4 linked regions of the Drosophila melanogaster genome follow. The protein of the gene in region 3 interacts with the protein of the main gene of each other region in a pairwise test. Each region holds a gene or a part of one and is shown on either strand. Other genes may lie near its edges. The genes, in order: Gp150, CG7886, CG14071 and CG31224.

The links.
Region 1: the proteins of CG14071 (region 3) and Gp150 interact in a two-hybrid assay, tested with the Drosophila melanogaster proteins (one large-scale study listed by BioGRID).
Region 2: the proteins of CG14071 (region 3) and CG7886 interact in a two-hybrid assay, tested with the Drosophila melanogaster proteins (one large-scale study listed by BioGRID).
Region 4: the proteins of CG14071 (region 3) and CG31224 interact in a two-hybrid assay, tested with the Drosophila melanogaster proteins (one large-scale study listed by BioGRID).

What each region holds. Positions count from the first base shown.
Region 1 is NT_033778.4:22,320,383-22,330,599, forward strand, and holds Gp150 (Gp150), read left to right. Parts: upstream 1-2,520; 5' UTR 2,521-2,587; coding exon 2,588-2,643; intron 2,644-4,735; exon of another isoform or gene 4,736-4,792; coding exon 4,793-5,345; intron 5,346-5,400; coding exon 5,401-5,955; intron 5,956-6,013; coding exon 6,014-7,748; intron 7,749-7,810; coding exon 7,811-8,142; 3' UTR 8,143-9,032; downstream 9,033-10,217. Other genes in the region: CG34207 (uncharacterized protein), read right to left, coding at 9,033-9,338; T3dh (type III alcohol dehydrogenase), read right to left, coding at 9,880-10,217.
Region 2 is NT_033777.3:14,638,441-14,645,880, forward strand, and holds the start of CG7886 (uncharacterized protein), read right to left. Parts: upstream 4,124-7,440; 5' UTR 3,796-4,123; intron 3,719-3,795; 5' UTR 3,580-3,718; intron 3,523-3,579; 5' UTR 3,440-3,522; intron 3,337-3,439; exon of another isoform or gene 3,173-3,336; coding exon of another isoform or gene 2,974-3,172; intron 2,908-2,973; coding exon of another isoform or gene 2,763-2,907; intron 2,704-2,762; coding exon of another isoform or gene 2,309-2,703; intron 2,249-2,308; coding exon of another isoform or gene 1,182-2,248; intron 1,097-1,181; coding exon of another isoform or gene 684-1,096; intron 628-683; coding exon of another isoform or gene 446-627; intron 392-445; coding exon of another isoform or gene 1-391. Other genes in the region: Cad88C (cadherin 88C), read left to right, coding at 1-391, 446-627, 684-1,096, 1,182-2,248, 2,309-2,703, 2,763-2,907, 2,974-3,172; l(3)L1231 (lethal (3) L1231), read right to left, coding at 6,495-6,748, 6,856-6,957, 7,080-7,440. UniProt on the Drosophila melanogaster protein: May play a role in cilium biogenesis.
Region 3 is NT_033779.5:10,885,479-10,891,565, forward strand, and holds CG14071 (uncharacterized protein), read right to left. Parts: upstream 3,450-6,087; 5' UTR 3,301-3,449; coding exon 2,890-3,300; 3' UTR 2,798-2,889; exon of another isoform or gene 2,791-2,797; intron 2,740-2,790; 3' UTR 2,167-2,739; downstream 1-2,166.
Region 4 is NT_033777.3:18,655,058-18,662,263, forward strand, and holds the start of CG31224 (uncharacterized protein), read right to left. Parts: upstream 4,253-7,206; 5' UTR 3,703-4,252; exon of another isoform or gene 3,469-3,702; intron 2,129-3,468; 5' UTR 1,927-2,128; coding exon 1,108-1,926; intron 892-1,107; coding exon 1-891. Other genes in the region: CstF64 (cleavage stimulation factor 64 kD subunit), read left to right, coding at 4,648-4,784, 4,848-5,970; Cpsf73 (cleavage and polyadenylation specificity factor 73), read right to left, coding at 6,102-6,191, 6,255-6,697, 6,759-7,206.

The sequences.
Region 1 (10,217 bases), on a different chromosome or scaffold from region 3:
ATTTCACAGCCTCAAAGTTTGGGTTCAGGGTCTTGCATTGGACTTGGCTACACATATGCCCATGTGCCCGGGCTAATGAAATGCAGAGAGACTTGGCTAAAAGTGACTCAGAGGAGTGTGCTTACGTGCTGTGCAAGCCGTTTTGAGGCTCGGAATGCGGCCTGCCACATGGAACGTGGCCAACTACGTTGGTGGAGGCCAAAATGCAGCCATTCCAGCCCTTAATTTAAGCGATAAATGCTGCAAAAAAACCAAAACCAAACGTAAATATTATGTAGAACCATAAACTGTCTAATTAGGAAGATACGCTATTGATCAAATTGCTTAAGAGGTAACAGAAGTGGACACTTTTGAGCTTTCCTTTGTCCCACCTAGACTGTATTTTCATGGTAGTCTTACCAATGGCAAGCAAAACTGTTCTTTGTTAATTCCATTAACTTGATGAGTGTAAACGCTGATTGCAGGCCTTTTGACAGTCCGCGATCAGTGCCTTTCAACGCTCAGTGATGAGTTCTAGCCTCTTAACACTCGACACTTAATAAATATATATTGTAGATGGCTCAACGGGTTGACAATTCCAGGCATTTGTCTCTGGAAACGCTCGTTCGACCGATAACCAATACGTGATGGCGGAACGCTTTTGTTATTGAAAACAAAGCCTCGTTCGAGTGCAAAGTTTAGTGCAAAAAGGTCGGATTTATTTTTTTAAATCACACTCGGCTGGGTAAACAAATCAGGTTTCCGACGACTAAGCACAATGAAAAGCGCTTTCCAGCTTTTCAGCTGGGGGCAGAAAGTCGTGCCACAAGCCAGACTGCTAGAATCGACTTATCCGGCACTCTAAAAGTCGGAAGCTGGGATCGAAATACGATACAGATATCGCTAATGAACCGCCCCCGCCAGGTGAAAGCCGGTTTCTCATTTGCACCACCTCCTTAAGTTCTTAATTTATGTTACGCTTCCTGCTTCAGATTCAGGGCTATATATACGGTGCACCGATCGATCCAAACAAAGGGCAATTGCTGGCAAGGCGAGGAAGCAGGCATAAAACTCGGATTCGAATGGCTGAAATCAATTTATGGAGTTTTAATCACTGAATTCCCATGCAGGGAATTCCCTCAGATAACAGCAAATGCACTTTATCGACTAAAATGCAGCACACAAGGTGCAATTTTATTTCCGATCGATCAGAAGGCATTACTTCGCGATAAATTTTGAAAAGGTCTTAACTGAGAAATGTCGTTTCGCTCACACGAACTTGCAGCTGCTGCAAAATTTTACCCTGAAGTGTAATTAGTTTGCCGACTTGGCAAGTACGCGTCTCTTTTAAGCTCCAGTGACCTTCTTAGATAAGCTAATCGATTTCCTATAATCGAATAGCAATTTTAATTGATTATGACACTTCTCACTATATACTACATATAGTATTACAGACAATATGTACACACTAGACACTACAAAGTGTCATTGCGATTAAACTATTTACGTAAACATTAACGACTTTATTTTGATTGTAATAGAGCACATTCGGTGCGAAGAGTTCAAGCAACTCGAACGTGACACCATCGGTTATTATTTAGAAATTCCCTTTCGAAATGTTTGAGTTTGAGCGAATTGAAATGGCTTTTAGCAAGAATTTTTCGTAACTGGTAAAGTCATCTGCCTGACTTTTGGCTGCCACCGGGCTAACTTGGCTCACACATCTGCTCCGAGTTCGAGTGGCAGTTTCCAGCCAAAAACCAGTCTGGCCATCTTTGTGAGCCAACAGTTTCCCCCTTTTTGTACCAACCTTTTGTGCCAACTGCGTGTTAGTCTGTGTGGTCAAATGTCGGCATTTTTTATACTTTTGTGTTTATTTTTTATGTGCACGCCTTGGGCAATTTTGTCCATTGTACTGCCTGTCTGCCTGGCTGCAAAAAATTAACGTTGCAGAAATTATATTCCAGAATGGCTTCAACCGAGTGGGATACACTATGATATATAGATGGAAATGTTATATCTGAGCAGTTGGCCAGTGGTGTATTTTCTAGCAGAAATAACAATCGTAAATCGTCAAAATCCGCAGCAACTCGTGATGCTAATGAATCGGTCAACAAATTTGACGATGTCGTGATCCGCAGATTTAAAGCCGGATGAAATTGGCTTGAGCCACCCTAATGAAGGCATCAGCTGAGGCATTTCCGTTTCGCCTGTCCCTCCACTCTTTCCATGAATCGATATCCTTTAAAGGGGACACATAAGTTCCCGAAAAAATGCAATATTCTACCTACACGTCCGTTTCTCTCGTTTCACTTCCTGTTAACGCCAGCTATTTTTACCCAGACATCTCAATCACTATCTGCCCACGCACACAGACTCATGATCGCATTATTTTGGGTATTTCTTGGTATTTGCCAGAGACACATTTGTGTTGATCGTAAGACGGAATCAAGGCGAAACTACCTGAGTTCGAGGTTCATTAGCCAACCTTGCTAATCAACGGGATCTCTCTACCCAGAGGAATGCAGATATTTTTCGGGCATATACTTGGTATATTGACTGCCCAAGGGTCGCACCCAGTTTCCAATTTCCGATCGACGACGCACCCATGCACAATTTGATAACCGGGCCCCATCTGCTCTCCAATCCACATGACATTTCTGGGTAACTTGATACTTAAATGTGGGTTGGCGGGTCTCATGGGAAGCGTTTATAATTCTAATCTGTTGACAAAACCGACCACATGCCAACCGTCTGTGAACCAGTTGATAAAAACCGAAAGACAACCAATGGAGCCAAATCAAAATATACTAATAAATTGAATAGAGGTTTACGTTTAAACAAATCGTGTCTTGTATCAAGACTCGAAATCATTTTGTTAGGCGATACTCTGATACTCTGTGGAAGTGTGCCTTTAAACGAAGCGATCCAAAGTGTTTCCGTATCGGGTTACGTTAAGTACGGGGCCATTATGTATGACAGGGCCAGATCAGGGTTTATCTCGATCGAATGTCAAAGTGTTCTAGAAACAGTTTCAGGAAAGCATTTCCCCATTAGCTGGACGTTAATTAGATGCACGACACTACAAAGCACTCAGTTATAGATTTTTATTTACTGGCGGGGGAGACAGATCAATGGAGGGATGGGGCTTACCGATTGGATATATCCCGACTAGTCTAATCTTTACAGCTGTAGATAGCCGCAGCAATATGATGAATTGGCTGACTCACGAATTTCCGAGTGGAAAACGTATTTGCATACATGTACAAGTATGGCCAGTGCCAGTGCCAGTTACCGGTTTCTCTCTAAACTTGAACAGAGTCTACCCTCGTATAGCCCAGTTCAAGCGGACATCTGTGTATACAGACATATATACATACATATATCGCTGCAATGACAGAAATGGAATTAATTATGGTCGGAGTGTCGGCGGCGCCTTGGCCAAAGCTAAAGCCAAAGCCAATTTCAAGCGAGCCAAAAACCGCTGTCTTTCTTGACTCGATGAAATGTGTTAGCCGAGAGACCTAAACACGTTTAATGCGATCTCGAGACTGCAGTTTTCCCTTCGCGCTTGTGTCAGGCTCCCAGTCAACCTGACACCCACTCGCAACGCGGAGCTGGCTGCTAAGCGGTTTGCTGTGGGGTCTAATGAAATGCTCTAACATACGATATGTGCGCACATATGTTCCCATAGCCGCCATACTGTGTATTGGCTGGATAAATGCGATCTATTCTGGCCGCCTTAACTGCGCATTTTGCATTTTACACTTTGCTGGCGGAGTCGGATCTCTCGCGATCCCGGGTCGTTTGCCTGGTTACGAAAAGCAATAATACCCAAAGCTCTTTGTTTACCACTCGGCGAGCCACGGTCTCGAATTATGTGTTTGCTTTGCCATGAAAACGAAGGCAAACACAGGCGGTCTTTCAATAGGGCCATCCGCCATGGAATCCGCATCGAATGGGTGGAAAATGCATTCCAAAACTACGTAAATTGCATAAGAGACCTGGAGAGCGTCGAGTTTTCAGTCTGGTTTTGAGAATTTCTTAGAATCAGCGAGCTGGCAAACGAGTTCATAATCGGCGTCAAGAAACGCTCAGTGGGGATTCCCTCATATCGAATCGATTCCAAAAAGCACAATGTGATTACCCAATCGTTTAGTTAGGGTAACCAAACCAGTCGCGTGCAATCAAAGGGCAAGCAAACTGAAACTCAAATAAACAAGCTCCAGTTGATGACAGACCAACTCGAATCGCGAGATTGAGAGTCAGCAATTCTCCAGAAACTATTTTCGGCATATGCATTACTGTTAGATGATGTATACAGTACTAATCAATAAGGGAAGTACTTTGCGGATACGGTAGTGCGAATTGTGCTTTCACTGGATTCTGAGTAACGTGTTGAAAATACGCAGCGAATCATATGGGGTGCAAAACAATTGCCATTAAACGATAAGCAAACATTTGGAAATTCGTCGATTCGAATGTAGTGTACCTACTAAATTAGCATGCGAAATGATGTCAACTCTCCGGGTGCCAATGTGCTAATTGGGGCAGTCAACTTGGCTCACCATTTCGTCATGCAGATCGGTGATTTTTAAGGAAATAGGTGGACAATGTGCGCATTCTGAGACCAGCCATGAGCTCGGCCACCTCTCCAGAATGTGGTTGATTCAATAAACGCATATCTACTTATCTGGCTCCAGCAATTAGCGATAAGATAGGGCCCGTTGGGTGTGAGTCGTCTGTTTTTGTCATTTTCTCAGAAGCGGCCATTACTGTACTGTATAACGTTGAATTTCCTGGTCCATTTCAGTTTGCCCATCTACAGGAAAATGAGTCGCCAGTCGACTTGCAGGCTAGTCCTGCTGCTGGCCTTTACCCTGGCCCTAATCCACGCCAGCCACTCAAATACCGTGGGCCCCAAGATCCACTTCATTCATGACGATCTGACGGAAAACGAGCTGAACTCTGGAGAGGAGGTGAGCCCGACCGAGAGTCTGCCCAAAATCTCCACCCCCAAGGTAAAGGATTTACCCGTGGAGACGACCACCAGGAGCCCCACAAAAAAAACCACGTCCTCCGGCACCGAGAAGTCCCTTAGCGAGGAGGCTTGGAATGATCTGATGGAGGCGGCCAAGCACAGCCAAGCTTTGGCTGATGATCCACACTTCAACAAGATGCTCAATACTACCGTCGCCGCCGGGGAGAAGAACTCCACCGATACCGACGATAGCGAATACTATGACTACGATGATGATTACAACTATTTCGATGAGGAGACGGTGACGATTTCCCCCAGTCCCAAGAAGGCCAAGAGCAACCCCAAGCTGCAGCCCATTGTGGATGCCACCATCACGAAGTCCAAGGTATACTTCCCCCATCATCCTTAAATTCAAATAAATATGTTTTCGTACTTTACAGAGCAAATCCAACGACCAAAAGACCAAAGAGAGTGCTAACGATATCGACAGCGACTCTCAATATGACTACGACGAGGGTCTGGATGATGATGATGACGAGGACGATGCCGCTGACGACCTTTTGACCGATGATGAGCAAGTTGTCTTCAGCGAGGACGTTCCGTGTCCAAGATTCTGCCAGTGTGCCCGGAATGTCAACAGCTATCTGGTGGCCACCTGCAGCAGACTTGACATGGGCATCCAGAAGTTTGGCTCTGACATTACGGATTTGGTTGTGACCAATGTGGGTCCTAAGTACCCCATCCTGATGGGACCCAACTTCTTCCAGAATCTGGGTCTTAAGAACGTGGCTTCCATCAAGATCGCCAACTGCACCTTGGAGTACCTGCACGCCGAGGCCTTCCACGGACTGAACGAGCTGTACGCTGTTAACTTGACGGATGTTGGTTTGGCTATCATTAATCCCGATACCTTTGTTGGAAACAAGAAACTGCGCATGCTGACCATTTCGGGTAACGACTTGAGTGTGATGTCCAGCATTCACTATTTGCTGAAGGTGAGTGATTTCAAAAACCTTTACCTTGAAATCCAGCTAATAAATTATAATTTTGCAGTCTTCCAGCATTGAGGAGCTGGACTTCTCGCGCAACAACCTTATGGAGTTGAATCCCAAGGCCTTCTCCCATCTATCCAATGTCGTCTACATTAACTTGAGCCAGAACAGTCTCAAGAAACTGCCCGAGAAGGCTTTCGAGAAGGTTACTCTTCTGGAAGAATTGGATCTGTCTTACAACTCGCTGACTGAATTGCCCCGCGATATCTTCAATGGCACCACCCTGTCCATACTGCACCTGAAGTACAATACCTTCAATGGCGATCTGCACTTTGGCACCAAGGATCTGCAGCAGCTGGACTTGAGCTTTAACTCGATTGTCCAAGTGCACCACAGCATGTTCGACAAGATGCCCGGTCTGACCAACCTGAACCTCAAGGGCAATGGCATTAAGAAGATCCAACCGGACTCGTTCCTTACTTTGAAGAACCTGCGCCACATCGATTTGTCCATCAACGATCTGGACCAGATCTCGGGAATGCTGTTCTTTAAGAACTCTGAGCTGGATGTGATCCGTTTGAACGACAATCCTCGTCTGAGCCAGTTGCCCACCGATGGCTTCTTGAGCTACAGTGGGGAGTTCACCGTCTACTACCTGGATATTTCCAATTGCGCCATCGGTCCATTGGGTCACAAGGCCTTCTCCACTATGCCGCATTTGACCACCTTGAAGTTGGCCTGGAACAACATTAATCATCTGCCGCGCGAGATTTTCACTGGACTGCACAAGCTGATTGACTTGGATCTGAGCAACAACCTGATCACCCGCATGGACGATCTGATCTTCATGGACAACGGAGAGCTGACTAAGCTCAGTCTGGCTGGAAATCCCATTAGCCGCTTGTCCGTCCGCCTCTTCCTGCCGCTGCACCAACTGCGATGCCTGGACGTCAATGACTGCGAGCTTACCACCTTGCTCTCCGATCGCGACTTGGGTGCGGGTTACAAGATCTTTGACAGCCTGCGCTCCTTTAACGCCTCTGGTAATTTGATCAAGAAGATCTCTTCGGAGGATGTGAAGAGCTTCAAGAACCTGCGTTCTCTGGATATCACCAACAATCCGCTGAAGTGCACTCCCGACTTCCAGGAGTTCATCAGCTACGTCACTCTTCAGATGCAGATGACTCCCAAGCGTCTGCCCGTGCTGGCCAATCTGGAGGACGATGCTACTATTGTGCAGCTGGAGACTCTGGCTCAGGCTGGTTGGTCGTCTTTGGCCCACGAGGTGTGCAAGCATGCCGAAGGATCAGATCTCTTGGACGAAAAGAAGGCCGACAGTGCCGAAGCCAAACTGGAGAAGCGTCTGAAGGAAAGCGTGAAGAAGCTTAACGAGGATGAGGCTAAGTTGCTGAGTGTCCTGGACAAGAGTGTGCTAGACAAGAGCAGGCTGAGCAGCATGCAGAAGATCATGAAGGGATCGGTGAACACTGAAACCGCGAAGCCTGAGGAAGATGCTGACGAGGAGAATCTGAACAATGGCGGCGAGGATAAGGAGGATGACAGCAGTGACTATGACAGTGAGGAGGATGATGATGACGATGATGAGGACGATGATGATGACAACAACGATGATGATCGCTTCGAGGAGGCCAAGAAGAATGCCAAGGCTAAGGCCGATGCTAACAAGGCCTTCGACACGTTCGTGAACAAGGAACTGAAGCCAGTCCTGAAGACCGATGGTATCCAGGCGGAGGAAGTGGACATGTCTCAGGAGACCCGTGATAAATTCCTTCTGGGTAAGTTTTAGCCAATCATTCGTTGATGGAATGTATTCCAATCGTATGTTTTACCTTCTCAGAGAAACTGGGCTTCGACAGCGAAAGCGAGGAGTCAGATGAGTACACCGAGAAGATGATCTTCCACGGCGAACTATCCTACGACCTGGTGGTCCCACTGATCGTCGTGTCCTTCTGCCTCCTGATGATCGTGCTGTCCATCGCCCGAGTGATCTACGTGGTGCTGCGCAAGCGCGGCGAGCGCTATCGCATGGCGCTGCTGGCCTCAAAGAACTCGTTCGTATACCAGAAGTTGAGCGAGGACATCGTGAAGCCGACCAGCAAGGAGCAGAAGGAGCCCAAGCATCTGAAGCAGCCAAAGGTGCACCGATACGCGCCCATCAATCAGGTCTAAGTCCACCTAGAATCAGCAGTTCCGGGCCGGTGGCCGCGGAAATCGAACGAGTTGCGCTGTTTTTCTAATTTATAAGTATATTGATAGTTGAAAAAGTGGAAAATCACATCAGACAATTGACTAAACACAAGCACAAGAATGTAAGAAACAGGAGGAGGAGCAGTAGGTGGCAGTTAAAAGTATTAGCGAAAGTGCGAGGAAACAAAGCAACAACTAAAAAATACTTGAATCCAAATAAGAGATTGAAAGAGAGAGAATAAATCTTTGACAAAATCCTTTATCCTTGAAATATCCTGTACCATCAAATACTGTTAAGACCAGTCAAAGGTCCTTGGCAACAGCAGAGGTGGGCTTTCAGAGAACGCGTTTGATGAGCAACCGTTTCGAAAGCAACGGATTTGCAATTTATCAAACCTCTGCCCACAATCCGTATCCAATTAGTCCATATCCGGGAACAACTTGAAGATTTAGTGCCATTTTGCCAAAATTCAAACCGAGCGAAAATTACTTAAACACATTAAGGTTTCTAAACTGAGTGTCAAGTCAGGAACAAGAAACGAGGAGCGAGGAACAGAAAGTAGTAAGAGTTTTAGATGCGGGTCTGTGTAGCAAACGGTTAGGAGACTCCCTAGAATGACGTCTGATTTTTAATATGATCAAGAGATGAGAGAAATAATTAATGCATAAACTATGTTAAGACTTTTTTATTATCTTTTTTCCAATCGAAGGCAAGTAACAGCTTGACCTATTCGACATTGAAACCGATTCCGAAAACAATAAATTATTTTAACCAAACCGATCGTAATCTTTACAATGCATACTTAATAGACATACACACTTGCATACGTACTTTAAACAATAACATGCCTTTCAATAAAATTGAATATATTTTATCTGCGTTCAATAAAAGACTCAAGTTGACCGACATCCCCTTCCTCCTTTACGTAGGTGCTCAAATTCCGCTGGAAACAGAGTGCCAATTCGTTATCTTCCCGATCCCGTTTCAGTTCCTCTCTGACCTGCCGCCACATCCGTTCAAATCCACTATCGAACGGCATTCCCAGGAAGCGATTATGTCTGGAACGGAGTTCATTGCCGATCTGCTGCCACATTGCCTCGAATTCCCCGTCGTAGGGCATCCCTAGAAATTTACCCTCACATCCGGAGGATTCGAACATGAAGGAGTACTCAAACATGTTTCAGTCTAAAATATATTATAATTACAAAAATTACAAGCTTTTTTTGGAGCAACTAATTTGTAGGATTTAATCCTTTTTTTTTTGTTTTAATGATATGATATCATGTATGATTTGTATGATATTATATTAATATTAATATCTTATATCATAGTATTTTTGGTCCCAGCGTCGGTCTTCTTCCTGCAGCTTAGGAAAGCAAACTGAGTAGAGGATTCTCAAACGAAGTGCAGACCAAAAAAGAGGCCACAAAATAATGCTGAATGTACATAAGATCCATTGCGACAAAGAACATAAAGTAAACAAAAATCAAGCAGGGCATCAAATTTCCTGTGATTCTGTATAGGGTTTTTAATGGTATTTTTCGTATATACACAAGTCCAACCAAAATTAAATGGTTCACTCTAAGCTTTTTATACGCTTAAAAAAAATAGAATTTTGAAAGCTCAAGTATGGTCAGATCTTAAACGAAGATCCGTTAGTTTAACATTTTTTTTTCTTCAAGAGAACAAGTTGAGCGTGGGTAAGTTTTGGCTCCAAATTAATAGACCTCCATGGACTTCTCAAAGAGTTGCGACAGGTTTTCCTGCGTCTGCGCCCTGGGTGCTAGCTTAGTGATCCTTTCCTGGGGCAGGGTTCCCTCCACCAAGGCGGGTATATCGCTGCTGGAGAATCCCAGCTCTCGGAGGCCATTTTCTATGCCCGCGCGTTGCATAAAACCGCGTACAGTGTCCGCCAAAAGACGACCGGCGTCTGCTTTTTCGACACCTCGCACTTCTGCGCCCAGCAACTGGGCAGCCTCCAAATGCCGATCCGGACAAGCTGGAGCAGTGAACTCAAAGACCGCCGGAGCACTGATCACCACGGATAGGCCGTGTG
Region 2 (7,440 bases), on a different chromosome or scaffold from region 3:
TCAGTGTGAGGGCCACGGATTCTGGAATTCCAGCAAGATCCTCACTGGTGGATGTGTATATAACAGTGCTGGATGAGAATGATAACAATCCCTACTTTGTGGGTGGCAGCAAGAACTATACGATTAGTGAAAATGCAGCTCCAGGCACCAGAGTTGCCACTCTCCAGGCTGGAGATGCGGATTCGGGAGATTTTGGCAAGATCACCTTCCTGATGGATCGCATCAGTTCGCAGGGAAAGTTTACCATAGATGCAGACACTGGGGTGCTAACGGTGGCCGATCGTTTGGACAGGGAGTCTAAGGATTCCTACAACCTGGTTATCGAGGCCTGGGATAACTATCAATTCGGATTCCTGGCCGGAGAAAGTCGCAATGCCTTCAAACAGGTTTTGTAAGTTATAAAAATTTAAGCATTTGACAAATTTATTTCATTTAGCTCTTTCAGCATTTCCATACTCGATGAGAACGATAATCCACCAGAGGTTGACTTGCCCATGAGTTGTGTTTTAATCACTGAGTATCACGAGTTGCATGAACGAGTGGCAAGCATAGTGGGCAAGGATGCAGATGACCCCACTACGCCAAATGGTAGACTCGATTTTGCCATCACTCGGGGTAACAAAGATGGTAAGGATTTGAAGGAGAATAAGTCTTTCAATCACTAAATATATTTGCACTTAAAGGTATGTTTGAGCTGCGCCAGATAGACGCTTGGAATGCCCAAATCTTCGCTAGCAAAAGTTTGCGCAATAGATACGGAAACTATAGCCTTACTATAACTACGCGAGATATGGGCCTTCCAGCCAATATTGTGCACAACACCTTGGATATTTGCGTATCGGATTTCAATGATCACGCTCCGGTTTTTGTGAGGCCACTTCATAACACCACTGTTCGCATTCCGGAGAATGCGACTGTGGGAACGCTGATACTACAGGCATATGCCAGTGATGGGGATATGGGGCAGAATGCTTTGGTGAGATACAGACTCAAACCCGATCCATTGGGCAGCTACAAAATGTTTGAAGTAGACGGCAGCACAGGGGAGCTCTTTCTGAAGGAACAACTTAACCGCGAAAAGCAGAAGATTCACGAGGTAAATGCCAAATCTCCTTATACCTACAAATTTTAAAGTATAAACACACAAAAGAATATACTATATGATATAATTTTCATTACAGATACGTATAGAAGCCTATGATCAGGGATTGCCAACCTCACTGAGTTCAGACTTGGATCTAACGATTTATGTTCGGAATGTTAACGATTATGAGCCTCAGTTTATGGTTAACGAAATATCCGTAAACTTCACGGAGCACTCGGATCCAGGATCCGAAAGAATAAAGCTACCGGACACCATAGATAAGGATCAGTTGGAACTGGACGATCCGAATGATACGCCCAGCCAGGTGTGCTACTTTATAGTGAATGGAAACGAAGCGGGATACTTTCGTCTCGATCCCGAAACCCATATATTGACTGTTGACCGTGAACTGGATCGCGAGGTGATTGCCAATTTTACGCTCTATGTTCGTGCCACTGAGAATTGTAGAAATGATTCTATATCTGGTGGCGAAAAACGTCGTCGTATGGGAATCGAGATTAACAATAGATTGGGAGGCATTGTGCATAACCAACAGTTTGGATATGATCGTTTCAAACACTCTCGACAATTGAGATCGACAGAGAGTAATGAATACGGACCAGAAGATGCAGAGCTGTTATCGTATGAAGCCTATGACAGTAGTCAGGAGGATCCAACCGGAGGATTGGCAACAACCCATCCAGAACTAGATAGCACTGTAATAAAAGTAAAGGTGCGCGTGCTGGACATCAACGATAATCCACCGAGATTCCGTTCTAAAATCTTTACTGGTGGTATAACGACCAATGCTGATTTCGGTTTAAAATTCATGCGAGTGGAGGCTACGGATGCAGATGAAGGAGATAATGGAAGGATTGGATACTACCAAGTGGGTGAAATCCGACAGACTCTTTCCGAGGGATTGGAGAACGTACGCAAAGCTCCCTTCCTTCTCGATCAGGAAACCGGAGAAGTGCAGCTAAACTTTGACCCACAAAAGGGAATGAAGGGCTATTTCGATTTCGTCGTTTTGGCCAACGACACCTCAGGAATGAAGGATGTGGCCCATGTGTTTATCTACTTGTTAAGAGAGGACCAAAAGGTGCGATTCGTGTTTAGACTTCAGCCGGACGAACTGCGATCTCGAGTGGACTCCTTCAGAGAGTAAATATTGAGTTGATTTTAAAGTATAACCCCCCTTCTAATGTTATTTCCATACCTTAGCACCCTGAGCAACATAACAGAATCGATTGTAAACATTGATGAGATTAAGGTTCATGAGAACAAGGATGGTTCGGTGGACAAGACAAAGACGGATCTGTACATGCATCTAGTCGAGCGGGAGGATAACTCAATCTACGAGGTATCCGAGGTGCTCAAACTGATTGACTCGCACATCGAAAGCCTGAATGGGCTATTTAAAGAGCTCAACGTGCTGGACACGCAGGCGGCAGAGGCTCAGCTCCTGACCGCGGGACCCAGCCGAGGTCCTTTATTCGTGTGGCTGATTTTCACCAACCTCTTTCTGGCCACTCTACTGGTAGTCACTATAGCACTTTGCGCCTCTCAACGGAATGGATACCGCAGGCAGCTGAGAGCCGCTAAAGTCAATATATTCCGTAAGTAACGATTAGGATAAAAGATAAATTAATATATTTAATACACAAATTCCATTTAGGTGGTCACTCCTCGATGTCCCTGCAAGACGCTCAGGAGCCGGCCACTCGAGTGCCAAATACCAACAAGCACAGTGTCCAAGGATCAAATCCTATTTGGCTAAAGGGTTACGACAACGAGTGGTTCAAATCAGAAGAAAGTGGCAGGTGCGATAATAGAGGAAATCACTAAATCGTCCCTTACTTAAATATATAACACTTATTTCTCCATAGTATTGGTGGCCATGACTCTTTGGATGATAACTTTCTGGCCGTGGCCACACAGGATATGCACGAAACGCTCAAGGGAACTGCCAAACTATTCAACAACAGCAATGATCTTAATCGGCACTTTAATCTATACAACCAAATCGACAAAATGACCAACAATGCTCAGATCCTGGCCCGAAAACTGGAGACCACGGAGTTATAGCACCAAACAGTCCCCCCCCCCTCTTATTTATGGCACTTGGATTAAGGATAGCTTAAGTTCAGCTTGTAGGGACCATGTAAATATATCGAAGCTTAAAACACAGTTTTAGTCCTGCTATGTCCTACGACATACGCATTCGTACAAATTAAGGAAATTGTATTAGCAAATAAAGTAATAATTGTCGGTGATAACTACATATTATTTAAATCAATTTATGCGGGAAAGAGTCATAGCGCAAATATACAGAATATGCTGAATTGAACTCACCTTTGATTCAGTTCCTCAGTTAGAAAGTAGTCGAGAGCTTTGTGGTTCCGCAATGATGATATAAAAATATACGTAGAGCACAACTGGTGGTGAGGAGTCGGTTAGTGGGGTCGATGGTGGAGCATGTGGCGCCCACTTACCACGCTATTCCACGTATCCCCGTGGCGCCACTCTGAAAACTGGCGGCAGCTTACAAACGTACAAAAAAAGTGACTAATCGGGGAGACGGCAGCTCAGATAGGCATTTGTATGCATTACAACCGACAGCAAACGACACGCCTGCTAGGATATGATGTAATAATCGCTGCATACGGACAACCCAGAGTAGGAAATGCCGCCACATGGCACTCACTCACCTTAGCAAAACGGGGATAATCCGGACCAGATCTGGTCAGTTTTTGTCTCTTTTGCACTGGACTGAATGCTCCTTGCGATTAGATGCGATTGGGTTGGTGGTCGAGCAAGGAAAACAAAATAGAAAATAATAATTTTCAATATAACCTTTGAATTTGAATCCTCGACCACAACTCGACGAAACGCACTGAAAGAATCCTGGGAAGGATTAGCGGGTTTCTTAATTCGGCGGTTCTGCTGATGTTTTTTGTATTTTGTTTTCGGGAGTTACTCGGAGTATGTGTCAAGGCAAACTAACTGTTTCCTAGGAGAAAATTATGTTGTTAAACGAATGTGAGTCTATGAAAATCTGGTCACCGCCTGCCGAGATTCCCATTCCCGATACCCAGCCATCAGTTCCCCATACCGATTTCCCATTGATCAATGACAAGCCAGGATGCTTTGGTTTTTTTTTTTTACTAAAAATACTGTATTATATTTTCAGGGTAAAATATTCTGTTGCCATAAAATCAATCAATTCTTTTTTTCATTTGCTTTGATTTGTTTTATTTTTTTTTTTTTTTGCTTCGTTTTCTTAAAGTATTTTGTATTTCTTTTTTTTTTCGTTTATAATAGTTACACAAATTAGATCACAAAAATGCACGTAAATTACAAAATGAAATTGTACCTCATACCGAAAACAGACAAAACTTCAAATGGTGAAAAAGAGGCGGCTACTGGAGGGATGCGGGGTTGTAGGTTCATCGCTACAGTTCTTACAAATTAAAGTGTTATAAAAATAGGGTTTAAAGCATATAATCAAATACATGGTTTTGTAGTTTCGCTACAAAAAGGACATTAATTTTGTTCGCGTCACTTGCACAGCGAAGTAGATCAGAGTAAAGTGCGGGCCAACTCAATCGGTAATCAAGTGAACCCGGTAATCGGTAATCAACTAACTCAAGAACGAATTCATACGTTTATATAATATATCTATATAGGGTTTTAGAGATAGAGAGTGAGAGTGTGGGGGAATTATTATATATCATATTTTACAGAGTTCCATTATCTTTAAAGTAGTTCCTTCTGCTCTATCGTTTCGCTATGCCCAAACGAAAGTTCCTATGAAAGATGCAAGTGTTTGAGTGTGCCATGGGTGGTGCATTAACGTAATGAAAATTCGATGCGTGATACATATACAAATACATAGTTATCTAGTGTAATTAAACGTTTTTCATTCATTTAATACTTGCTTAGACTCCGCGTGACAGATGAGAAATGAGAAAACTTACAATGGATGGAGATGGAATGGTTTGGGTGTGAATTTTTTTGTTTTGTTTTCTTGAGGGCTGTGATTTGGGGATCGGTCTCCAGTGAGCGGTATATATCGTATTTTAAAGCGTAACAGTTTTCTTGCTTGTTTTGTGTATTGTTGTATAAATATATCTCGATTTATAAGTTGCTGCTTGTCACTAGACTAAAGAAAATTACAATTCATTTATGTTCTATATAATATTTGTTAATTTACATAATCTAGAATAGACAAACGCATGCTAAAACTCAAAAATTGTCGGTCAGCCTAATTTTGCTTTTAAAATTTGTTAGGCTTAATTAAAATCGAACAAAGTTTGTGGCCATCGAGCAATGGCTAAATAAAAGAGCTTAAAAATAAATCAAGTATACACTTTTACAATCTGTTAATTTTTTTTTGTTATAGGGTTTTCTTTTCTTTGTTTGTGGGTTGGTTTAAATTAAAGCTTACACTTAAAAGTATGTGTACAGATATATTAAGTGGTATTATGTATATATAGCTATATTTTATATATATAAGTATATATAGTTGTATATATATTTAGTAATACGATTCGCGGTTTCAAACTAGTCCCTTGTACGTTGTATGTATGTGTGTTGGTGTTTAGGTGTGGGTGTGTATGTGTATGTGTATTAGGTGCAAACCAAGAACTAAAATCAAACTAAACAATTTCAGCTTCACCTGTTTTGTTTTCGTAGTTCTTGCAATTCTCATTTGAGTGTATGGTGTTGTGGTTGTTGTTGTAAATGCGTTCACAAAATTTTTAAACAAATTTTAGGCTTGTTTATGTTAACGAACTTTCCAATGTATCGCGTTCGTAACTTTAATTCAGAATTCAAAATTTGTTGCTAGATTTCCTACAATTTCGGTTTCATTTTATCTGTTTGCTCTGGTATTGTTTTATAATTTCTCGTTTATATGTATAATAAAGCTGATCTCTACAATCCTTTTGTTGGTTCACTAACAAATTAAGTTACGTTAAGATGTACGTAAAGCTACACCTCTCCGCGAATTTACAATATTATGTTTTTGCGTACGGATACATATACATTTCATTCTTAATGTTGATTTAAAGTTGAATTTAATATTTTTGGACATTTTTTCAAATTTTTTACTTTTTGTGTGTGTTTTTTTTTTTGTTTTTCACATTAACGCATAACTATATGGTTTTTGAATGCTATTTTATTCATGCATATCTGCTGGTGAATGCATGCATAACATTGAAGCTGCATATAGAAACATTGTGCCAAACTAGAATCGCAGGTAAGAAATGGCCAAAAAGAAAATACCGAAATTCTAAGCGAAAACTGCCTAAAAGTGAATGGGAAATCAAGCTTGAAAATCTCTCTCTCTGTCTCTCTAAATGAATCTGTAAATTCTGTAGGCCATAAATCCGACCTGATGCCGGAATTAGGTCTGCACCAAGCCCCGGATGTCGGAGGCGCCGTTGCTGCTGCTATTGCCACCGCCGCTGCTGCTGTCCCCAAAGAGGGGAGGAGCATCGATGCCGGACGTGTTTGGTGAGTGCATCACAGCATCGGCCAGCAGATCGTCGCCGACGTCCAGGAAATCGTTAAGAAAGGCGCTGTCCGCCGAGCCGCCCATTGTCTGCTGTAAGGCCCGGTCCAAAGCCCGGTCCATAGCCTCGCACTCGGCTTGTTGCACTGCATAGGCACAGGTCCAAGGCGATGGCGGTGGCGTTGGCAGCGAAGGCACACATGGATTAGTACAATGAAAAGCTGAACAAGTAAAATTGTGGTTAAATACACACCGGATTGGAACAGCTCGTTGAAGGCATCGTCTGACAGCGTGTCGAACACATTTACCAGATCGTGCTCCTCCAGCAAGTGGGCGCCATTCAATGCTATATCATCTGGAAGAGAGAAATAACGTGTCAAAATACTGAAAAAATCTTAGGGAATTTGTCCAGCTTCCTTCTATATATACATAGCTATTATATGGAAGTCATAAAAGTTTCACCGTTTTGAAACTTACCAGCATCGTTAGTGCCTATCAGCTCCGACTCGCTGAGACCGCCCAATCCGGTATCCTCGGAACTGGCGTATGCCGAGCTGTTCTCGCAAATACCAAACATGTCCTGGCCAAGAAGATCGGCCGTATTGGCCAGCACTGCCGGAACAGCGTGGCCATTGTGCGTAATTGTGTTGCTTGGCTGGCCCATGGCGTTGCCAAAGGCCGTGTTGAATGAGGGGAAACTGTTATTGTTATTGTTGCTGTAGTTCATACTATTGTTGTTGTTGTTGTTGAAGTGCACGCTATTGTTATTATGGATTCCTATGTTGTTGTTATTATTATTGTTGGGATTTTGTAAATCACCACCGGCCGCCGCCAATTG
Region 3 (6,087 bases):
GCCTTTCCACCGGCAACCAAAGATGGTTTCAATGAAGTTTGAAAGTGAATAGGGGTCTGCTATTAATTGTCCTTTGGAGACAATTTGGGATTTTTTCAAGCATCACTCATACTGAGAATGTTTCGAGGAACTTGACTATTGCGTACTGCTGCATTGCTAATGGGTATACCTTCAGATACTTATATCTTATACCATTGGCTTTATACAATCTTTGTCGCCCCAAATGACTTCTTTCTGCATCCACATGCTGCATTCACATGATGGCTGTGCTGCGCAATTACGCAAATTAGCTAAGTGAAATTCAATACACTTGGCCAGACCTTGTAATGGAGGTGATTCGAGGTGGGAAAGGGGGATGGCTAAGGAGGTATTCGGGCGCATATTATCATGCCCAGCCTGAGCACATGTAATTGCCATTAAATTGATGTGATTGAATAAGCCGCACAAAGGGTTTTCTCGTGCAAACCACACACATTCAACGCCAGCAGAATGGGCTGAGAATATGCAAGAAAATTATAATTTAGCACCTACGAATTAAATACAATGTGTGACAAAAAAATGTAGAGAACAAGGCTTACAAAGACTTATCTTTTCTTTGCGTAGATAATATATTTAGTTTCTTTTCACAAAGAATCCCTGCAAACAAATAGTGTGTTCAATTTACTATTTACTTACATTATATTTGCTTTATTCTGTCCACTTTTTTTTGTTGCCATTTATTTGATTTATGTGTGTAGCGGCTGTAACCGGGGTGTTTTTTTTTTTTTATTTTCCCCATTGTTATTACATGGCACAAATTTTCTTATCTCCAACCTTATCGGACTGACCGTATTTTATGCCTGTGGTGGCATTTCTTGGTGTGCCAAATGTGTTTGTTTGGCAAGCAAATTGAAAACAAATTGTACTACATGAATTTAAGCAATCATTTCTTTTTTTGCCACTTATATTTGTATGTGTAGCATTGAAGTATATTCGTCAATTATCAATAGAAAAATCGGTTGCCTGGTAATTACAAAAAAAATATATATATTCATAAACGAGTATAGCGGGTCAAATCATGGTTGAAGTTTTTGTGCCATAGTCCTTTTTATGTTCTCAAGTTACAAAACCCATGGTATAGGGCTTCGAGGCGAGAGCCTTAAAAAAAAGGCAACGCTGATGGGTATAAGAAAAGAAAGTTTAACACTTGCTCATACTTCTGTTTATTCAAGGTTGGCTTAGAAACGCAAACAAAAAAAAAAGGTGACCGTCATTTGTTTTCTTGACACTTTTGAAGGCTGCTCAACAAGAGGCGGCTTAGTCTTTTTTTTTTCATTCTTTCTTTCTTTTTCCTAAAGGGTTTTGTGCCAGTTTAAACATTTTCTTATACTCTTCGCATTTTTGCATAATGCTATTCTCTTGGGCGACCAAAAGGGTTTTGTCACTAAATAAGTCGCAAGTTGATATTAATAACATCTCATTATCGCATCGTTCTAATTTTCAGCGCTCAGATGAAATATGTTCGCAACGTCAATTTATCATAATGAAGACAAACGACGAGAAAGGATGACCTTCAAAAAATTATTATCCAAGTTTTTAAGTTGTGGCACTTGTAATTGATGAGCTCAACATTTCCAGATTGGCTGGAAAGCGATTAGCGCAACGAGGGAGTTTTAAAATGTGCTTTTAACAAACAGGAATCAAAATTAAGTAAAAATATGAAATACATCCGACATTTTTCGAACCTTCACAAATGCTTTGTTAGTGCGAATTTTCCAATTGACTGGGATGAAAGGCAATCAGAGTCACAGCGGTACAGACCCAAAGTGTCTTATTTTCGGTTCACTGGCCAGAATGGTCGAGATGATTGACTTCATGCAAATGTTCTTGTTAAGACCCATGTCTGGTTGGGAAATTTGCATTTGGCTTGTTTGACCAGTCTGGCTGGCACGGGAATAAAATTGAAATTGTTACCTCGTCGTCGAACGCTTCAATTTAATTAATTAGAGTACAGGACAGGGCCCATAAGTCTGGCTTTCTTCAAATATACCTCGACTTCCTTCTCAATTCTCCGACTATTAATGTTTAACCAAAGCAAAGTAACAACAAATATGCAATTGCATCCTTATACATGTAAGCGCAGACCATTTTGTGGTCCCCTTGGCAATTAAAGTTACAGTTTGGTATAGAATTGTTTAAGTTTAACTTTATCCAAGTAGAATTAATTTCTTATGTTTCTAAACATTTTGGGGTTTTATGTAAAGTCAATATATAACATATGCATTTTTGTTTTGAGCTGTAGTTTACTTAAATATATTCAGTAAATGGCGACCATTTTCAATGCACAGGAAATTCCATAAATTTTCAAGCTTCAGCTTTATCGATCCGGCGAGTCTATATATTTGCAGCGCGTTGACACCGCCAGACGCTCGGCATTATTGAATTTATGCACTTAACGATAGAGTCAGCAGAGTGTAGCTGCTGCCGCAGCGGATGCTGTTTCCGCGACGGCAGTGGCAACATTGCGTATACGCAATTAAATTTGCAGTGTCTTCTGGCTCGCATTGGATTGTCTGTGCGCGAGTGCATAAAGAATTACCGGAAATGAGATTGTTGCGGCTTTAATTTCACCCAAAATGATTTAAGATGTCCAGCGGAATGTGTGAATGGATTTCGCGTTGCATCGAACGTGGACTTCATTATCCAAAAGTAACACATATTTTACTGATTATCGACGGCACACGGGTACATATGGCAAAGCTGGAGAATACAAATACATGTTTACATAGCCCTTGCAATTTCGAATCATTTAACATACTTGCAAACTTTACTTGCACATTAAATCGAACTGAAATTTTCAAGATACACATATGTAGAAGTACAACGTATGTAATGGTTAAATACATATCTTCACATTGAGGCGGCTGCTGCCGATTCCTCATTAGCCACTGTGATGGCCTTTTCAATGACTCCCTTCAGCTTCCTGATGTCCGCATCCAGGTAAATAAGGCGCTCGTACGTGGCAGCCAGCTTGTTGATAATGCTACCGAGGTGATTCCTCAGAATTTCCTGCAGCTCGTCCTCGTTGGGAGCAACGAATGGCTGGCCACTCAAATTGCACTGGAACTCGTCCTCGGCCAGCGCCTCTGCCAAATTATCCTCGGTATCGTCCTGCTGCTTGCGCAATCGGCTCAATTCGTGATCCAAATCAGATCGCTCGATGGTCATGGCCTCAAAGTCGGCCATCTTTTGATGCAGTTCCGGATGGAGTACCACGCCCGGATTGATTAAACGACCAAAGCCCTTTGCCGATCTGGACATTGCTGCACAGTGTAGTTACGCCGTTGAAAGGAGTTTGTGGTTTTCTACGTGGAGCAGTATTTGATTTAACTTAGCAATAAATTTGTTCCTTAAATCCGAACAGTTTCTAGCTACCTACTTATGATTGGTAAATATGTGTTGCTGGCGTCCACTGAATACTCGAGAAAAAACAAAAAGACTGTAGTTAAAAAAGGAAATAGATCATTACATTCAAAAATTGTTTAAGCCGAAATGCATTACGAGTAGATGATAGCAGAAGCATTGTAAACTATCATTCAAATAGTTATTTTTCGTACTATCTCTTTTTAGTGGACAAGAATGTGTTGAAGTTTAAAATTTTCCACGAGTTAACGGCACAAAGATATAGTTTCTTTTTGTCCCTTCTGCATTTATATGCTAATCAAAATTTGGCAATCAAGGGAAGCTTTCTGAAAGAGAATCTTGCCATGCATTTAAATAACAATAACAGCGGTCCCTTTTGAGGTTCACGTGTATATTTGAAGTGGAGAATATTTGGGAATATATACAACTCAGGGCGCGTGTCCTAATTAATAAGACCACCTCGACGCCATCATTGCCATTTGAGCCCAGTGGATTTTTGCTCCTTTTTTTTTGTTGGTTACAAGAATTTCCCAGCGGCATTTCGCGAAATGCAAAAACAACAAGCACCGAAACACAATGGACAAAATGATGAAAAGAAACAAAGGAGGATAGAGATATCTCATTATGGACAAAAGCAGGCCAAACGAGTCCAAAAATAAAATGAAAAATTATGCAACCGAAACAAAAAACAAAAAAAAAAAAAACCCAGCTGTCCTGTTTATCCTCCTCGTCCTTGCAAATCGACATCCGCCCCTTGACCAGTCTGCGTATTTCACGAATTTGTTTACAGCTCTCGACGCGGAGATCCTGGCTTTGAGGTCCTGCGAAACACGCGTGCCGAAAATAATCAAAATATAATAAGCAGACTCTTCAAGGCGCTGCCAAATGAGGCATGTAATAATTTTTGCCCTGCCCAAATTCCCAGTCCCTTTCCACTGGCCGTAAGATTTATGGTGCGTAGTTTTGTGCTCTGATTGTGAGGTAGTATGAGGGGTATGTTGTTTCATTTATTTAGCAAACAAATATTACACATGTATTTATTCAAGACCAATGAATTATAATTACATCTACACTAATAATTAATATGCAAATTTGCATTCGAAACTGGTACCAATTATAATAATGAAAATACATATTAAATATATATTAATAAATATATCTTTGTTTTTTTGCTTAAAAGTATTGTTAACAATATCACAATGATTTAAAAAATGGCTACCATTTTTACTATCTGATATCTGATCATCTTCGACTTTTCCGTTTTAAACTCCTGCACGGTATATGATATTCGGTAGACTCGATTTTCGGACCAGCCCCGTCAAATTAAGCAATTTCCAACTCAGTTATGGAAGTTACATTTTTACGAGTAGTTCACAAACAATTCTATCCACTTGGATTTTTTCATTTATTCGTTTGCTCTTGGCTTTGCCAGCTTAATAGGCTTTGCACACTTTTAGGTTATCTTCAGTCAGTCAGTAAGCCGGCTTACTGAAGGATTTCATGGGGTTTTCTCCGAACATTTCTCTATAACTCGCCCCTTAAAATGCCAAACAATGTGATGAGCAACAGCCATTGGCATCTGCCTACAGTTATGCAAATCACTTGCGGGAAAATTTAGCTTGAGTAACTTCCACTTCTTGCTTGCGCCACAAGGTGGTCAGTTGAAAATTGCGAACGGAAGGATAGGCTTGGATATTCGTCCTTGGGAAATGAAGGAAATGGGGGGGGGGGGGGCTAGAATGCGTGCACCTAGTTTGCCCTAATTTCCGCTTTATTTGGCAAATATATACGTTGCCGGTCGAGTGCTTTTTAATAAGTTAGTTGCCCGACATTCACGCTGCTCTGTTTTCATCTCGTCGCTCTGTGTGCTCTCGCATAATTAAAAATGTACACACGTGCGCTCACAAGGAGACCGACCACGTGTTAGGGGGTCTGGTGGGTGGGAGGTTGGGTGGTTGGTATTCTTGTGGTTTACCTGCGGTAAAGGATGATAGTAAGTAGGGGGAAGGGTGGAGTCCGGACTCCGGACAGGTTATATTTACTTGCCGCCCAGCTGCCTCGCTGAAAGTTAAAATACAAAAAACCTGCGCATCATCATTGTTGCTCGGGGCGTATACTTAATACTCAGCAGCGGAAACCAGGAGATGAAGTCGTCGAGTAAGCTGAAGAGCTCACGCGGAAACTTTTTGTTAAGAAAATAAATGGGAGCTCGTAACATAAGACAGACTTAATAAAAACGTAGTAGTAGTAATCTTAACTATTGGAAATTTAACACGTACGTGAACAATTTTCATTTATATTTAAAATAACATTCAGATTACTTAATTATATATTTCTTATTAACCTAATTAAATTCTATTTTGAATTAAACCCTTTTGGTGTGACAGGTAACCGTGGAATTGCAATAACTAAATGCATCAAACACATGTTGCCCATCTAATGTTCAATTCAACAGAAAAATTTCGCACGGAAATTGAGTAAAATGAAAATCAAATGCGCACAAATATCTACCCAATATGTTTGACAAACATTTGGCTGGTTTGGATTCAACGATGGGAAAAATGAAATTTGGAATATATGAAGGTATGCGAAACTCACAGCGCAAAAGATAAAAAACTAACGAATTTTTTTATGAAACATGCTGCTATGTGTTGTTTTTTATAGACGCATTCGCATATAGTAGAT
Region 4 (7,206 bases), on a different chromosome or scaffold from region 3:
CGTCTTACGGGCCTTTTTCGTTGTCTTGCTCATATTACGGCTGTGGCTGTTCTCCTCCCGCTCATCGTCCCCGTCTTCTTCCTCGGGCGGAGCATCATGCTCGTCCTCCTCCTCTTCATCCTCGTCATCCTCATCATCATCGTGTATGTGCAGAACACTCGGCGGGGATTGATAAATGCGTTCGATCACGGAAAACTCGCCGTCTTCCTTCTCCACACACTCTACAATATGCTTCGGTGTCTCCTGGACAATGAAGTCACCATTTTCCCGCTCAAGGTAGTGTGCCACCGGTGATTCTGCAAACCTCAATACCGAAGATGAGGTGGTGGGACAGGCCGGCGATGCGCAGGCCACTGCCGCTGCAGCATTAAGCAGTGCTCCAAACGGTGAGTTTGTCTGACGATTCGCACGATGACCAGATCCCGAGGTCGAGGGGTTGTTGGAGGAACTGCAGCTATTGCTGACCCCTAATCCGTAGGTCTGCAAGCTCGGTGGCTGTTGGTGACTCTGCTGGCTCGGCTGCGACTGCTGCGGGTGAGAATGCTGATGGTGTTGACCTTGATTTTGCACTAAACTGTGGATCTGCAACTGTTGCTGTGCCGATGGCGGTGGTGGGGGATTCAGGAATACTTCCGTATGAGGTTTACTGGGCTGCTTAACAGCTGCAGTTGCGTGTGAAGTTGAAGCCGCTGATGTCGTCGTTGGTGCCAGGGCTAGGTTGGGTTGCATGGCCACGCTTTGGGACTGTGGCTGCTGTTTGTTTTGGTTGTGCTGAGATCGTATTTGACTAATGGCGGCTCCATAGGCGGGAGGTGGTTTCTGGTGCGATTGCTGCTGGGTCTGCGGTGGAACAACCGTCTGCTGTTGCTGCTGCTGTTGCTGCGTAAATAGCTGTAAAGAAATTCGAGTTGCTTAAGAACGGAATTCAATTCGAAAATAAATACTAAATTTATATAAGCATAAAGGGTACAGTGGGTATACATTTTAATTTTGTTTCTTAATACTTTTCGTAAATAATATTACCCCTTTCTTTTCAAAGGTGTACTGCATTAAATCTTGATTGCACCCTTTAAGACGGGACAAATAACTTCTGGGACTCGGACTCACCTGCAACGGCGGAGGTGGGGGCAAAGCTGTGGCGTAGCTGAACTTCAGAGCAGGCTGATGCTGCGAATGTTGCTGCTGTTGCTGCGGGGACTGCTGCTGGTGTGGAAAGTGAGCCTGCTGTTGATGGCTGGCGAGGAAGTGCTGCTGAGGCACCTGCGGAATCACCAGCGCGGCTGTTGAGGTGGTGACACCACGCCCAAAGCCCGACGTCTGCGGCTGCTGCTGCTGCTGGTTGAAGCGATAATCCGGAGTGACCTGCGCTGGCTGGTACAAAGTGGACACGCTGCTCGTGGTGGGATGTGCGGATGTGCTGGCTCGCGCCTCAGTTGTGGGCGGTGAGCATTTCAGTGCTTTCATCGGTGGATTGCTCGGTTTGCTGCTGCTGAGGCTGCTGCTGTTGCTTGCTGAGGTGGAGGTGGGTGTGGAGCTGGTTGTCGAAGAGGCGGCTCCGTTGGAGCAGGCCGCCACGAGGGAGGAGGATAGCGGTGGTGGTGCTGGTGGCAGCACAGGCGCTGTTGCTGCTGATATGGTATTGACCACGACTGGTTTGACATCGCCGCCAGAAGGGGGTGATAAGACGGCCGGTTTCTCATCAGCACTGGCTTCGCCGCCGCTGGATCCACCTCCTCCAGATCCTCCTGTCAACATGGCGGCAGCGAGAACGCTGCCCATGCTGTTGCCACCGTTCCCAACGATCGTCATCTGCACCAGCGCCTTGATCACCTGCTCCTTGGGATGGGTCTCCAAGTGATCGGAGAGATTCATGCCCGCATGCAGGTACAATGTGCACACGGGGCATTGGACACTGTTGTCGACCATGATGACGATTTTAGATTGTTCTATGTGTGGCTCCTGCCTACTCCTACTCCTGCTCACTGGCTGCTCCTGCTCTCTGGGAGCCTGGCTTCTAGCTTTCTAGTGCGACGGATGACTGGCGTGGTTGCCCTTCAGAGTCATAAAACAGCGTATCTCCTTGGCTTGGCGTCCATCTTGCTCAATCCTCTGATTCGACGCGGGTGAGCTGCATTGGAGAATATAAAGAATGTCAGAATGTTGGTGCCAGAAATTACTGTACCAGTCCCTGGGCACATTCTGCGCTCCGATATCAACGTCTTCGGTGAAACGATACCCGATATGCGAAGAATGCGCCGTCCGGCGATCCAAGTGATCAAGTATCCACGGAATGCGTAATGTTTAATCTTAACAAACGCGTCTTTTTACAAAACCAATCCAAATTTATAAAGCTGATAATTTAATAATAAACCCTACTTTTCTTATAGAAAGGTGATTTGGACTGGAAGAACCCTTCGCACATCGTGCATCCTAACTGTTGAAAGTAACTCAATTAAAACCACAAATGTTTTACTATCGGGGGTAGCACAAATAATCAGTAAAAAAACGTTCGTTGGAAGTTTCTTGTAGTGAGTAATTTCTTTAAAAGCCAACAAAATAAAAGCATGATAAAAATAAAATTGTTTCAACAGCGAGTGCATTTCTAATATGATGATTATAATGATTTTGGTTTACCAGTAATTATTTTGTTCTTTAGAAAGCTACCAAATAAGTACAATTAAACATACAAGGCATATTTAATAATTGAGGATCGCAAAGGATCAAAATGAGAGAACAAGAGTCAATAAACTTTTCTAGCACAAAGCAGACCCAACCTCAACACAGTCACCCTTAAAGTCGATTCCACATTTTCGAAATCAGAGGTGCCATTTTAAATCGATTCTATTGATTTAGTAAAGCCATGTCTTATATTCGAATCCGTTCATATTAACCACATTCTCTGAGTAGAGCAACATAAGAATTCTGATTAGAAGGTCCTGTTTGGGCAATGGAAATGGCGGATTGGAATGCCGGTTGCAGATGGGTGAGACAACTTCTGGAGCAGCTTTTTTCTCTCGGGGAGCCAGAGCAGCAGGAAGAAACGGAATCAGAATCGGAAAAAAAGAGGCAACGACCCAGACCCAGCCTGCTGACGAGTTATTGGCCGTTCATCTGGTTTGCCTTTTGCTGCTTGCCTTTTGCGATAACTTTTGCTTTTATTTATAGTCTGTCTGCAGACCAACATTCACTTGTTTCTTTTTTGGGATTTGGCCATCTCTGCAAGGGTGGCTCTTTGTTTTGGGGGCGAAGGACAATGCGAGGGCTGCACATAAACAGCGGCAAACAAATGTCTACGTCTGTTGCTATTGATTTTTCCTTTGCCAAAGGTTACACACACCACGCACACACAACACCCACATGCACACATGCACACACAGACTGTCGAAAAATTGAGGAGCACACGGTGCGTAAATGCATTATGATTTATTCCAGTATCCCAGTTTGCAGCGACAACAATCGCCAGCCAACCTTTTTTCCAGTGTGCACACACGCGCGCTTGTTTGTGTGCGTTAATGTCGCTGATCTTGCCACTTATTGTACGATTTTTTTCTGCTGATTATTATTCACATAATTACAGACACACACAATTTAAAAATGCACATATTTCCGCTTTTGTTCACCAGCCATTGCCATCGATTTCGTTTTCGTTTCGTCCATGGAATGGAATGACACTTCCACAAAGAGAGGACGCCAGCTAATTACCAGTATCGATCGAGAGAGAGAGCGGCTGAGAGCGTATCCTTGGAAATGTAAAGAGCGTGGTGCACCTGCGGCCGCTTAAAGATGAAGAGGAAGTGGAGTTGGAGGAGGAACTGGAACAGGAGGACCAGGAGCCAGGAGGCTCTCTTCTCTTCTTTTTCTCGTTCAATGACACAGAAATCTTTCCTCTCGTCTTCCGCTTTGTGCGCTCCTTCTTCCAATATACAAGCGAGCTTTTTATATGTGCGAGTGCGACTGCGAGGCCATCGCTGCGTTTATCTCCCTCTGTCTGTGTGTGTGTGCGTTTGTGTGTGTTGGAGTGCGTGTGGCTACACACAAAGTAATATTTTCAAGCACGTTTTTCATGCACTTCGAGCCGTTTTTTGTCTATTGCCGCATAGAAAACGAATAAACGCCACTTTCATCTACAATTTGGTGTACAATTCGTGCATATTGGTGCACTTTTCACTATCAAAAACCGTTTAAATCGTTTTCACCTTGCGACAAGAAAAATTACAACACCAGGCGTTGGAGTGCTGCAAAACGTATGCGGGCTGCGGGAACTTACCAGCACTAGCAGTGGTGGTATTTTTGGCTAAGCAGGGCATTTAGCTATTTTCTTGCTAAATACTACGTTTCTAAGTGATGGCAATGGATGAGAATCCCAAAAATTAGACCAATACTGTTAATTATTTTCTCAGGTGTTTAGATAAGAAAATAAAATAAAATGGCTTGCGTATCTGTTATTACACTTTGTTTAATATTTTGCGTCCCATACCGCTTTATTTCCCAAAAAGTATATGAAAAGTATGAATCCCTGGTAAGGGAAATTATTCAAGGAAGAAGAAGAAACAGCAAGCCGGAACGCAGGGAATTTTTTAGACAAGTTTGTCAACGTTTGCTAAGATTTTGTCGAGTTTGTGCAGTAAATAATAACAAACAACAGATATGGCAGATAAGGCGCAGGAACAAAGTATAATGGACAAGTCCATGCGGTCGGTTTTTGTGGGGAACATACCCTACGAGGCCACCGAGGAGAAGCTAAAGGAGATTTTCAGCGAAGTGGGCCCGGTCTTGTCACTGAAGTGAGTTCCCTACTTAGAGCCATGCAATATCTCACTGTAAACCTCCTATTCTCAATCCCCCAGACTGGTCTTTGATCGGGAAAGTGGCAAACCCAAGGGCTTTGGCTTCTGCGAGTACAAGGACCAGGAGACGGCTTTAAGTGCCATGCGGAATCTGAATGGCTATGAGATCGGCGGCAGAACACTGCGAGTGGACAACGCGTGTACGGAGAAGTCGCGCATGGAGATGCAGCAGCTGCTTCAGGGACCCCAGGTGGAGAATCCCTATGGCGAGCCCTGCGAACCAGAGGATGCTCCCGAGCTCATCACCAAAACGGTGGCTTCCTTGCCGCCGGAGCAAATGTACGAGCTGATGAAGCAGATGAAGCTCTGCATCGTGAGCAATCCATCGGAGGCACGCCAGATGCTAATGCTCAATCCTCAGTTGGCGTACGCTTTGCTCCAGGCCATGGTGGTTATGAGGATCGTGGACCCTCAGCAGGCGCTCGGGATGCTCTTCAAGGCCAACCAAATGCCCCCCGTCTTGGGCGGCAATCCGCACCAGGGGCCGGGGAATCACACCATGATGGGTCAGCAACAGGTTCCGCAACAGCAGGTGCAGATCCCGCAGCAACAGCAACAGGCTCCCCAGCCACCAATGCCCGTTCCCGGACCTGGCTTCCCGGCCAATGTCCATCCGAACGATATCGATTTGCGCATGGTGCCGGGTGGACCCATGCCGATGGATCCCAGGATGATGGGCCGTGGCATGGACCAGGATTTGCGAGCTTCTCTACCCAATCCAGTGCCACCGCCGCTGATGGATCCCCGAGCTCGTGCCCAGATGCCCCCACAGCAGCAGCAGGGCGTTCCGCAGGCGCCACCGGCCCCCTATCCCAGCGATCCGCGCCAGCGTCCCATGGATCCCAGGTTAAGGGCAGGACCTGGTCCTCAGCAGCAGGCGCCGCCACAAGGAATCCCCCAAGCGCCGCCACCGACACAACAACAGCAGGCGGCCGCTCAGCAGTTGCAGAGCAGACTAGGCGCCCATGGAGTCCTGCCCTCGGATGCCTCCGACCAGGAGAAGGCTGCCCTCATCATGCAGGTACTGCAGCTGTCCGACGAACAGATTGCGCAGCTGCCCTCCGAGCAACGGGTCAGTATTGTCATGCTCAAAGAGCAGATTGCGAAGAGTACCCAGCGCTGAAACTACTCTGGCTGAAACAAATGAAAAATCACCATTTCGCTCATGCATACTATAGTACTTTCAACATTGAATCAATTAATAAAAAGAACATTTCAACACAAGGAGATTTATTAAGCGGAATAGAATGGTTTTCAAAGAGCGGAGACTAGGGTCTGGTGTAACTTCTGAACCGTCGTATTGAGCATTTGTCGCAGCACATCATCCTCGGCACAGCTGATGGCCTGGAAAGATTGTAGATTAACGATATTTTTCGATTTTAAAAAGCACCTTCGACGAACACTCACCAGGGTTTCCAGATTTATTTCCGCACGTTTACCGCTCACCGTCACTGGCAGCAGATCGCCCTCGAACATTTTTGGCACGCAGTTGTCGCCGAAGGTGTCCTGTAGCGTCTCGATTAGGCACTCCCGAAAGCGCGAGTCCTCTGACTTGGTTTGCTTTGTGGCACCCTTCAGATTTGTTCCGCCCAACTCCGATTGCATGATGCAGGCAAGAACGGCATCGGCGTACACATCATTCACATGCGTCGCTTGCCACTCCATCACAATGATTTTCTGCTCCACAGTTAGCTCGATGCAGCCGAACACGCGCAGCTTTCGCTCCGCCTCCAGCACCTCAACGCATCCGGCTCCAATGCGATCCAGCAGTAGCTCTAGAGTGCTCAGCGAGCTGCCCCAGGGAATCGACTGGCGTTGGGTTACAACAGACATGCTCATATCCGTGTATTCTGTGGGAATTATTTAAATGAATCGACATTTTTACAAAGAAACTAACTAACTATTACTTACTGCCCAGATCAGAAGGAGCCAAGAGGTGGTACTTAAAGTCGCGCTTAACCAGAACACCTGAGAGTTTGCTTCCCACCTCCGAGTTCTTGGCTGCGAGGCTTCCCATCACCTTGGCGGTTTTCTCGCCACGGAAATAAAGATCCACGGCATGTGTGTTTCGCGGGTTGTAGAATTTTATATCCGTGCTTGCATCTGCTTCGTATTCCCGCTGCAGGGCCAACTTCAGACGCGACATCTCGTTCTGCTCGCCGTGGACGAGCACGACATGCGTTGGCTTTAGTAGGCGGATGAATTCACTGGTCTGCTGGTAGTCCGTGTGAGCCGAAAACGATATGTAGTCGACGGACATGTTGAGCGGCAGCTTCTGGCCCGACAGTGTGGTGATCTCCTCCGGCTCGGAGAGAACGGCTTTGGCCAAAGTGCCCTCCACGCAGTAACCGGCTATAAT